Callithrix jacchus: one gene and its partner. The protein of the gene in region 1 purifies or fractionates together with the protein of each later gene. This does not show direct contact. Links are inferred from orthologs where the notes say so. Each region holds a gene or a part of one and is shown in the gene's direction. Other genes may lie near its edges.

Evidence for each region.
Region 2: the proteins of PPP2R5D (region 1) and PPP2CB purify together in Homo sapiens (affinity purification with mass spectrometry; 8 studies listed by BioGRID and IntAct, counting the BioPlex papers as one, with this or other methods). This does not show direct contact. The link is inferred for Callithrix jacchus from reciprocal best matches to the Homo sapiens genes PPP2R5D and PPP2CB.

The regions. Positions count from the first base shown.
Region 1 is NC_133505.1:51,474,424-51,478,832, forward strand, and holds the start of PPP2R5D (serine/threonine-protein phosphatase 2A 56 kDa regulatory subunit delta isoform), read left to right. Parts: upstream 1-1,307; 5' UTR 1,308-1,396; coding exon 1,397-1,423; intron 1,424-4,409. UniProt on the Homo sapiens protein: The B regulatory subunit might modulate substrate selectivity and catalytic activity, and might also direct the localization of the catalytic enzyme to a particular subcellular compartment.
Region 2 is NC_133514.1:31,977,947-31,982,286, reverse strand, and holds the start of PPP2CB (serine/threonine-protein phosphatase 2A catalytic subunit beta isoform), read left to right. Parts: upstream 1-1,411; 5' UTR 1,412-1,825; coding exon 1,826-1,927; intron 1,928-4,340.

The DNA.
Region 1 (4,409 bases):
GCACCACACCCGGCCTAATTTTTATATGTATGTATGCATTTATTTATTTATTGAGCCAGAGTCTCACTCTATTGCCCAGGCTGGAGTGCAATGGTGCGATCTTGGCCCAATGCAGCCTCTGCCTCCTGGGTTTAAGCAATTCTCTTGCCTCAGCCTCCCGAGTTTCTGGGACTACAGGTGGGTGCCACCATGCCTGGCTAATTTTTGTATTTTTAGTAAAGACGGGTTTCACTGCGTTAGCCAGGGTGGTCTCAATTTCCTGACCTCGTGATCTGCTGACCTTGGCCTCCCAAAGTGCTGGGATTGCAGGCATGAGCCACCGCGCCTGGCCAATTTTTTAATTTTTAATAAGAGGTGGGGTTTTCGCCATGTTGGCCAGGCTGGTCTCGAACTTCTGACCTCAGGTGATCCGCGTGCCTCAGCCTCTCAAAATGCTGGGATTACAGTCACCGTGCCTGCCTGGCTTACATTCTATCTTAATCCTGTTTATACACGTCTGTGATTCACCAGCCTTCGAACTCCTTGTGAATATGAACAGAGTCTTAACCATTAGAGCATTGGCTTGGGCAGGGTGGCAAGTAAGGGATGGATTTCCTGAGACACTCAACAATTTAAGTTGCTTTTCCACTGCGTTCCCAACTGCTCAAACCTACCTTGTTCTCCAATTCCAGTACACTTGCAGTAGGAACGGGGACCCTCTTCATAAAGTTGCACCAAACCAGAGATTTTCATCTCATTTCGCCCAGGTCCTAGCCCTGCCAGGCTTTCCCTTTGCTCCTCTGCAACTCCTGTCTAGGGAGGCGGGTGTCTTGGAAGGTCCTTGGGAGCTTCCGCCACCAATTTTGCATCTGCAATTAGGGCTACTTTACCCCAGTGAAGAAAGGTGCCCTCCGTATTAGGGCTTCCTTCCTCCACTTCGAACTGGGCAGGGTAGCAGAGTGAACAAAGTGTGAAAGCCACTTTAGAAGGAAAGAGCAGAGCTCCCAGCCCCGCAAAGAATGGCCGAGGACGACGCACAGCGGACGCTGAAGTGCAGCACTCCTAGCCAAGCTTGGGTTTTCCCTTAGCCCCGCCTCCTTCGCTAAGCTCGACCCACTTTAGGGCGGGACCACCCACTTCAGCCAATTCTGATAGCAGAACCCTGGCGGTTTGTACTATTTCTTTCCAATGAGAAAAAAAAGGAAGCAGCTTGGCTCCAATGACCAATCCGAGGAGGCGGCGCCTGGTTGTCAGGCAGTTTTGTAGGAGTTCGGGCCAATTGGAGGCGCAGGCACCGCTCGACCCGGGCGCAGCGCGCAGGCGGTGGCGAAGAGACGCCGAACGGGCCGAGTGCGGCCGAGGCAAGCCGGAGCCGGAGCGGGGCCGCAGGAGACGGGCCGGGTCCGGACGGGCCGAGATGCCCTATAAACTGAAAAAGGAGAAGGTGAGCGTGGCCCTTTTTCCCGCACCGCCGCCTTGGAGCCTGCGCGGAGCTCTGGGAGGGGCCAGAGCCAGGCCCGGGACAGCCCCAGACTGACCCTCCCGTCCGGCCCCCGCAGGACTCCTGGGGCCAGCCCTCCGCCCCCGCGGCTGGCAGCACCCCCAGCTTGTGCCGCGGCTAGGACAGCTCCCCATCCTTGCCCCGGAGAGACTCCCCCCACATACGCCTTCCTCCCTTCTTCCCTGCTCTTACCCCCGGCCCAGGGTAACCTCCTTCTTCCAGATTCGCCCCATTCTCAGGTCACTGTCCTGCTTTTTCTGTCCCCCCATCACCCCTGGCCCCGATCTCCCATCGGTTTAGGCAGCCCCTCATCTGAAACTGCACCTCCTTCCAGAATTGCCCCCTCCCCCCGCCCTGAACAGCCCCTTTCCTCCTCTTCCTACCCGCCTGGGACAGCCGCCCCACAGTCCCCTACGGCCCCTTCTCTTTCCATGCCAAGCCCCTGACCTAGAACAGCGCTGCTTTCTCTCTCCTCCACCCAAATCTGGCCTTGGCCCCTCCCTCTAGTTCTTCCTTCACACACAAACTTGTAAGCAGGACTGAGCCCTTATGTTGATGGAACCTCAGAACATCAGTGCTGGAAGGGACCTCTGAGCGCATGCAGTGCAATCCCTAATGGTACAGATGAGGAGACTGAGGTGCCGACAGGGCAAGGGACTTGTCCAAGGTCACACAGCCTGCTAGAGGCCCAGCTGCAATATCGGGTCTCCTGACTTAAAGGCCTCTTTTCTATCAAAGCCCTCCTAACTGGCTCCAGGTACATCCTAGACCAGTCACCTTTCCTAATCTGAGTAGGCTCTTCCCCTTATTCCTAATCCTAGGATAACCTTTGCATTCTTCCTTTTTATTTTTTTGCACCAGTGCTGGATTTCTGCCTTTCCTGAGCTGCACCATCTTCAAATTGGGAATTTGTCCTCCCCGTCAGATTATTATTCCTTCTTAGCCTGCAGGCCAGCTACCCCTGGACACCCATGTCTTTGGTCTTTGTCATGATGTCCTGACACAGGCCATTTCTTTTTCTTTCTTTTTTTTTTTTTTGAGACAGAGTTTTGCTCTTGTTGCCCAGGGTGGAGTGCAACGGCATGATCTCGGCTCACTGCAACCTCCGCCTCCCCAGTTCAAGCAATTCTCCTGCCTCAGCCTCCTGAGTAGCTAGGACTACAGGCGTGTGCCACCATGCCTGGCTAATTTTGTATTTTTAGTAGAGATGGAGTTTCTCCATGTTGGTCAGGCTGGTCTTGAACTCCCGACCTCAGGTGATCTGCCTGCCTCGGCCTCCCAAAGTGCTGGGATTACAGAGGGTAGCCCCCAGCCCTGGCCCACAGGCCATTTCTTAATGGTGCCTTCTTTCACCTTTCTCTTCTACCTCGGTGCCGCCTTCCCCTGTTCCTCATCTGTGCCTTTTTCTACCCTCTGTTTCCTGCTGTTGCTGAGGTCTGACTCAGAGGTGTGGTTCCTTTGAGGTACAGTCTCACAGAGGATGCTAGGATACCAGGTCCAGCCTCCCCCAGCTTCTCCTCTCCTGGGGCTGGCCCTTTATGGTGGGGGCTGGCTCTAGTCTCATGTTCTGGCCTCTTGCTTGATGACCCCAGAGGTATATTCATTTGCCCTCTGATTGACTGGGTTACTGGGCTGCCATCTATGACCTTTTCAAACTTTTTCTTCCAGGGCTGTTCTGTATTTGCCAGGCAGCTCTGATTCTGGGTTGTCCCCTTAACCTTTCAGGGCCTGAGGCACTGAGTACAGGGTTGGTGATGGTGTGCTAGATGGTGAACCTCCTAGGGGTAGTGAGCTGGATAGGGTTGTGTGTCCCACCCAGGCCCTGTCCTTGGGGAGTGGGCATGCAGAGATGGTTTGGGTAGCTTAATTGTAGACAATGCACACACAAATCAGCCACACCAGGGGCTAAGGGAAATGGAATCCAGGGAAAGCTGGTGAGGTCCCCACCCATTTGTAGTTTTTAGTCTGATGGACTATATACTGTCCCATCCACAGAAAACTTTAGCCTACTAGATTGTGAAGAAGAAAACAAATTCCCAGTTAGACTTGTTAGGACCAGGAGTGTAAGCGTTCGGTTGGGAAAGGGTGTTGGAAGGATCAGGGTGCATGGAGCCAGGCATCACTCTCACCTCCCTATAAGGTTTTTCTGCTCTTGATTTTCAGCTGCATTTGGACTTCTTCAGTGGTTGGCAAGCTCTGGGGGGTGGGGGGTTGACAGTGTGACTGAGGTTTGCCTGGATGGGGGTGGGTGGATGATCTTTATTCCTCATCTATCACCTGTCCCCTCTCTCCTGGCCATCTTTTACAGCTTTTTCCCTAAAGTCTTTCTGAGCTGTCAGTCAGGAGTGAGCTCTCCCTTCTCTTCTGGATTTGCAGAACACTTAGTAGGCCACTTATGGTCCTTTTGTGTTTGGCCTTGGATGGGAATTAATTGTGGACAAGCCTTTTCTTCCCTTGAGATAATAACTAAGCTTCGTTTTGGTTTAGCAACTCCTTTTCACACAGTAGGTGCTTAGCGGATAGGTGCTGAGCTAATCTCTTTGAGGAATTCGCATCTCCCCCTTCCTTCTTGTTTTCCTCTGGTACTTAGCTCTTTTATTTTCTTCAGTAGGGTGTCCCTGACTCCTCCGACTTTTTTCTTGTTCATAATAATAGTAATAGCATTGACCAGCATCAGGATTTTCATGTGCCTTAACACTGTGCTGAGGGAAGAGGGTACTGTGATTGTCATCGTCTAATAAATGAGGAAACTGAGGCTCAGAGAGGCTAGTAAACTTGCCTATGATTATATAGCTAGTAAGAGCTGGGCCCAAAACACAGGGCTGGCTGCAAACATGTTCTTTTAACCTTTGTGCCACACAGCACTTGACTGCTGAGCTGGGCTGAAGTGTATGTGCTTCACCTGTTCTGCAAGAGCCAGGGAGCAAGG
Region 2 (4,340 bases), on another chromosome or scaffold:
AGCAAGAAGAATCAGGCAGCTCATGCTGAAGACCGCAATTCCCTGATGGTTTACAGGTAAGGGGGTTTTCCGAGTGTTTCCTTTTTTTTTTTTTTCACTCTTGTCACCAGGTTGGAGTGCAATAGTGAGATCTTGGCTCATGGGGCAACCTCTGCCTTCCAGTATCAAGTGATTCTTCTGCCTCAACCTCCCGAGTAGCTGGGATTATTACAGGTGCCCGCTACCATGCCTGGCTAATTTTCGTATTTTTAGTAGAAACGGGTTTCACCATGTTGGCCAGGCTGGTCTTGAACTCCTGATCTCAGATGATCCACTCACCTCAGCCTCCCAAAGTGCTGGGATTATAGGCGTGAGCCATTGTGCCCAGCCCAGGTAAGGGTTTTTAAAGGCAGGGAGGCAGAGGTTACAGGCAAAGTCATAAATCAATACATGGAGACTATACATGAATTTGATCTAAAAAGCCAAGATATCTGAAGCAGGGACCCACAGGTCATAGATGGATTCAAAGATTTTATGATTTGCAACTGGTTAAGGAGGCAAAGCTTTGTGAATTTTTCCAGGCTCCTCAGTAAGAAATTTAGAACAAAGATAGATAGTTTGAAGTCTCCATGCCAGTGGACAGCACTTTCCATTTGGTGAGGGTCCAGGTTTCTAAAAAACAACTCAGGGACATCGTCCTCTTTAGTTTCTTTAAGGAACCAAACATTTTGTGAATCTAACGTCCTTGGTTACTGCCTTAAGCTTTTATTACCTTCTTGCTTATCAGGTTGCTCATTGACTTCTCGAGGAAGTTAGGTGCCGGGAATGTCCCTTGAGAGAACTCAAGATTTTCCTTTCCATACTTGGGGAGGGGGGTGCCTAGCTGGCCCCTAAGAAGGGGTCCCTCCTCTGTCTCAATAAATATTTGTTGAATGAACAAATCATTAACCTCAGTACATATTGCAGAAAACGCAGTCAAGAACGCTAGAGCTGGAAGGGCCACAGATTATCCTACAGAACAACCATTTCACTTTTCTAATGTTGAAGGGAAGGATTCGAGATGTTAGGACTACAGACCCGGCTGTAAATAATCAATTATTTACTCCATCAATATTGAATGCCTGCTATTGAGTGCTAGACTCTGGGGGGAACAATGTTAAGGGGAGCCCAAGTTTTCCAATTCCCTGTCCAGAGCACTGAAAAAGTACTGCAGGAAGCTAAAGTGAGGACAAAGTTCCCAGAGATCAGTCTATCTGAAGGGAGAACCAGCAGAGCTTGGTCTGGGGCAGGGTTGAGAAAGGAGGAGGGACCCCGGCCTCCTCAGACCGTTTCTCCGCCAGGCCAAGCGAGGGCGCTGTTCTGCTCCTAGTGCGCCGTGGGCGGGCGGTGCCGCCTGCTCGCCTTTTCCCGGCGGAAATGCCCGAGCGATGACGGAAACCTGGAGGGAGGGGAGAGAAAGAGCGAGAGAAGGGGAAAGATAGCCTGTAGAGGCCGGCGGGTGTGAGGTGGCGGCGGACGGCCTTCGTCCAGCGGGAGTTGGCCGAGAACCCGCGGCGCGCTCCCCGGCACCTCCCCGCGTCCTTCACCTATTCGCGCGGCGCGCGGCCAGGCGAGAAAGGGCGGGCGGGGGTCTCCTCCAGGCCGCGCGCTCGGAACCGCCTTCTGGGCTTGGGCGGGGCGCGGGGCCCGCGGCCGCCCTCCCTAGCTCTGTCTTCCCCCAGTGGGATCTGGCGGCGGCGGCGGAGGGAGAGGGGAGCGGCGCCCGGGCCGGGGCCGGGGGCGGGTGGGGTGGGGGGAGGGCGGCTGCGGGGCAGGGGCTCGGGATCCGCATCGGGATCGGGCCGCCATGGACGACAAGGCGTTCACCAAGGAGCTGGACCAGTGGGTCGAGCAGCTGAACGAGTGTAAGCAGCTGAACGAGAACCAAGTGCGGACGCTGTGCGAGAAGGTGAGGGCGCCGCGGGGGCGAGTGCGGGAGTGCGAGAGCGCGGGGCTGGGATGGGCCGCGGCCGCCGCTTTCCTTCCTGCACGTCCCAGGCCCGTCCGCTCCCGGCCCGGCTTGGCCCACCGGGGGCCTGCGGGGTTGCAGCCCCGGCCTCCATTCGGGCGGCGGGCCCGGCCGGTCAGGGACCGGAGCGTTGGACTGCCCTCGCCCGGCGCCTCTGCCTCGGCGCTGACACGCCCCACGCCCGCGGCCGGCGGCCCAGATCCCGGGCGTGGGGGCTCGGGTGTGGACGGAAAGGGAAACGCGCCCCCCGGAGTCGAGCCTGAGGTTGGTCAGGTTGCCTGCGCTCCCCTGGGGAGTTCCTGCCACTCCAGCATGTCCCGAGTGGGCTACCGAGAGCGGCGTCCGAAAAGGAGCAATGCTGTCTCTGAAAATGCACCTAAAATTAACCAGAATGTCGTACCTACTAATGAACTTGTTAATTAATGTAGAATTTTTGTCAGGCGAACGAGGCACCTCAAAAATCACTCACAAGTGCTGTGACTCACGCCTGTGGTCACAGCTACTCGGGAGGCTAATGCGGGAGGATTGCTTGAGCCCAAGAGTTAAGAGACCAACCTGGTCAACATAGTGAGGCCCTGTCTCCACAAAAAAAAAAATAAAAAATAAATTAGTGGGGCATGGTGGCGGGTGCCAGTAATCCCAGCTATTCGTGAGGTTGAGGCCGGAGGTTCGCTTGAATCCAGGAGGTGGAGGCTGCAGTTAGCTGAAGTCGCGCCACTGTACTCCAGCCTGAGCGACAGAGCAAGACCCTGTCTCCGAAAAAAGAAAAAAAAAAAAATTACTGGCTCTTTAATGTGTCAAGCGTTTGTTTGTGGAGAGGTAGGCGTGATGGCCAGCTGCGATTTTTAAAATAGAGGTTGACTTTGGTGGAAACAGATGGTGACTGGTCTTTGCCTTCACTCGCTCTTGGAAGTAAAGCATTGATTTTCCTAAACGAGAGCGGGTCTTGAGTTTGGGAACCGTGTTTGCTGGAAATGAGGTGGGGTGTGCGTTTTCACGCATGATAGCACTTTTCAGACAATTATTCTCCATTTTAATATAAAGTTTTTTCTTTTCCGAAGAATAACGCCTGCAGGTGGTCAATTCTTTCTTGTACATCGTTCATGAGTTTGTAAAGTGATCTTCACTTTATAAATACTATATTCCTTGTTGTCTTAACCCCTGGAATCATTTCCATCTCTCCATCTTTAAAGTCTAATTTTCCACATTTATCCTTTATAAGATGGACTAAATATTTTTCATGTTAAAAATTCCCACTTGAAGTCCATGAAGTAACGAGGTTATTTATTTTTAACATAATCTGTACTTTTTTTTTTTTAACCATAACGCTTAGAAATCATGATATTGCAGAAATACACAAGAAAAGGACAATTTTTTGTTAGTCTTATTTTAGGACATTCTTAAAATCATGAAATTTACTTAGAAAAGAAGCACTAATAGTGTTAAGTTAAAATAGTGTTTTTAACGGGTATAATGTTGCCTGAGACCTTTATGTATTAAGTAACTATTGGTTAACACCGAAGAATTTATTTTTGTAAATAGAAGTGCCAAGCAAGTGGTATTTTTCTTTTTCTGAAACAAACTGCTTACTTGTGGCTTCAGTAAACATTCATTTTATTGTGTCTTAAAATTTATACTTTAAATATCTTTCTCAAGCTCTAATGTGAAGTGAATTGTACAGGTTTGAAATGAGCTGAGTCAGTTAACCTTGCTATGAACATCAGAATGCAGACTTGAAGTTATGGGCAAAGTGTTATTTGAATCTGTTTTTCCCATTGACTTTCTTTTTTTGTTGTTTTGTTTTTGAGACAGAATGTCACTCTCTCACCCAGGTTGGAGTGTAGTGGTGCCATCTCTGCTCACTGCAGCTTCCGTCTCCTGAGTTCAAGGAATCCTCCTGCCTCAGCCTCCCGAGTAGCTGGGATTAGAGGTGCCCACCACCATGCGCTGATTTTAGTAGAGATGGGGTTTCGCCATGTTGACCAGGCTAGTCTGGAACTCCTGGCCCCAAGTGATCCGCCCACCTCAGTCCCTCAAAGTGCTAGGATTACAGGCGTGAACCCTGTGCAGAGCCCCCATTGACTTTCTAATAATTTTAAGATGAACTCCTAGAGAAGAATATTGTACCACTACTATACCTTGAAATAATCACACCAGAGTGTCAATCACTTGTGAAACTTTCTGTATTTGTCAAAAGAGATTTTTTTTTCCTTCGGCTTCTAAATAAATCAGACTAACAGTTCCTAGGACTTTATAGGTATATTTAAGATTGTCTCGGCCAGGCGCAGTGGCTCACACCTGTAATTCAGCACTTTGGGAGGCTGAGGGCAGATCACAAGGTCAAGAGAACAAG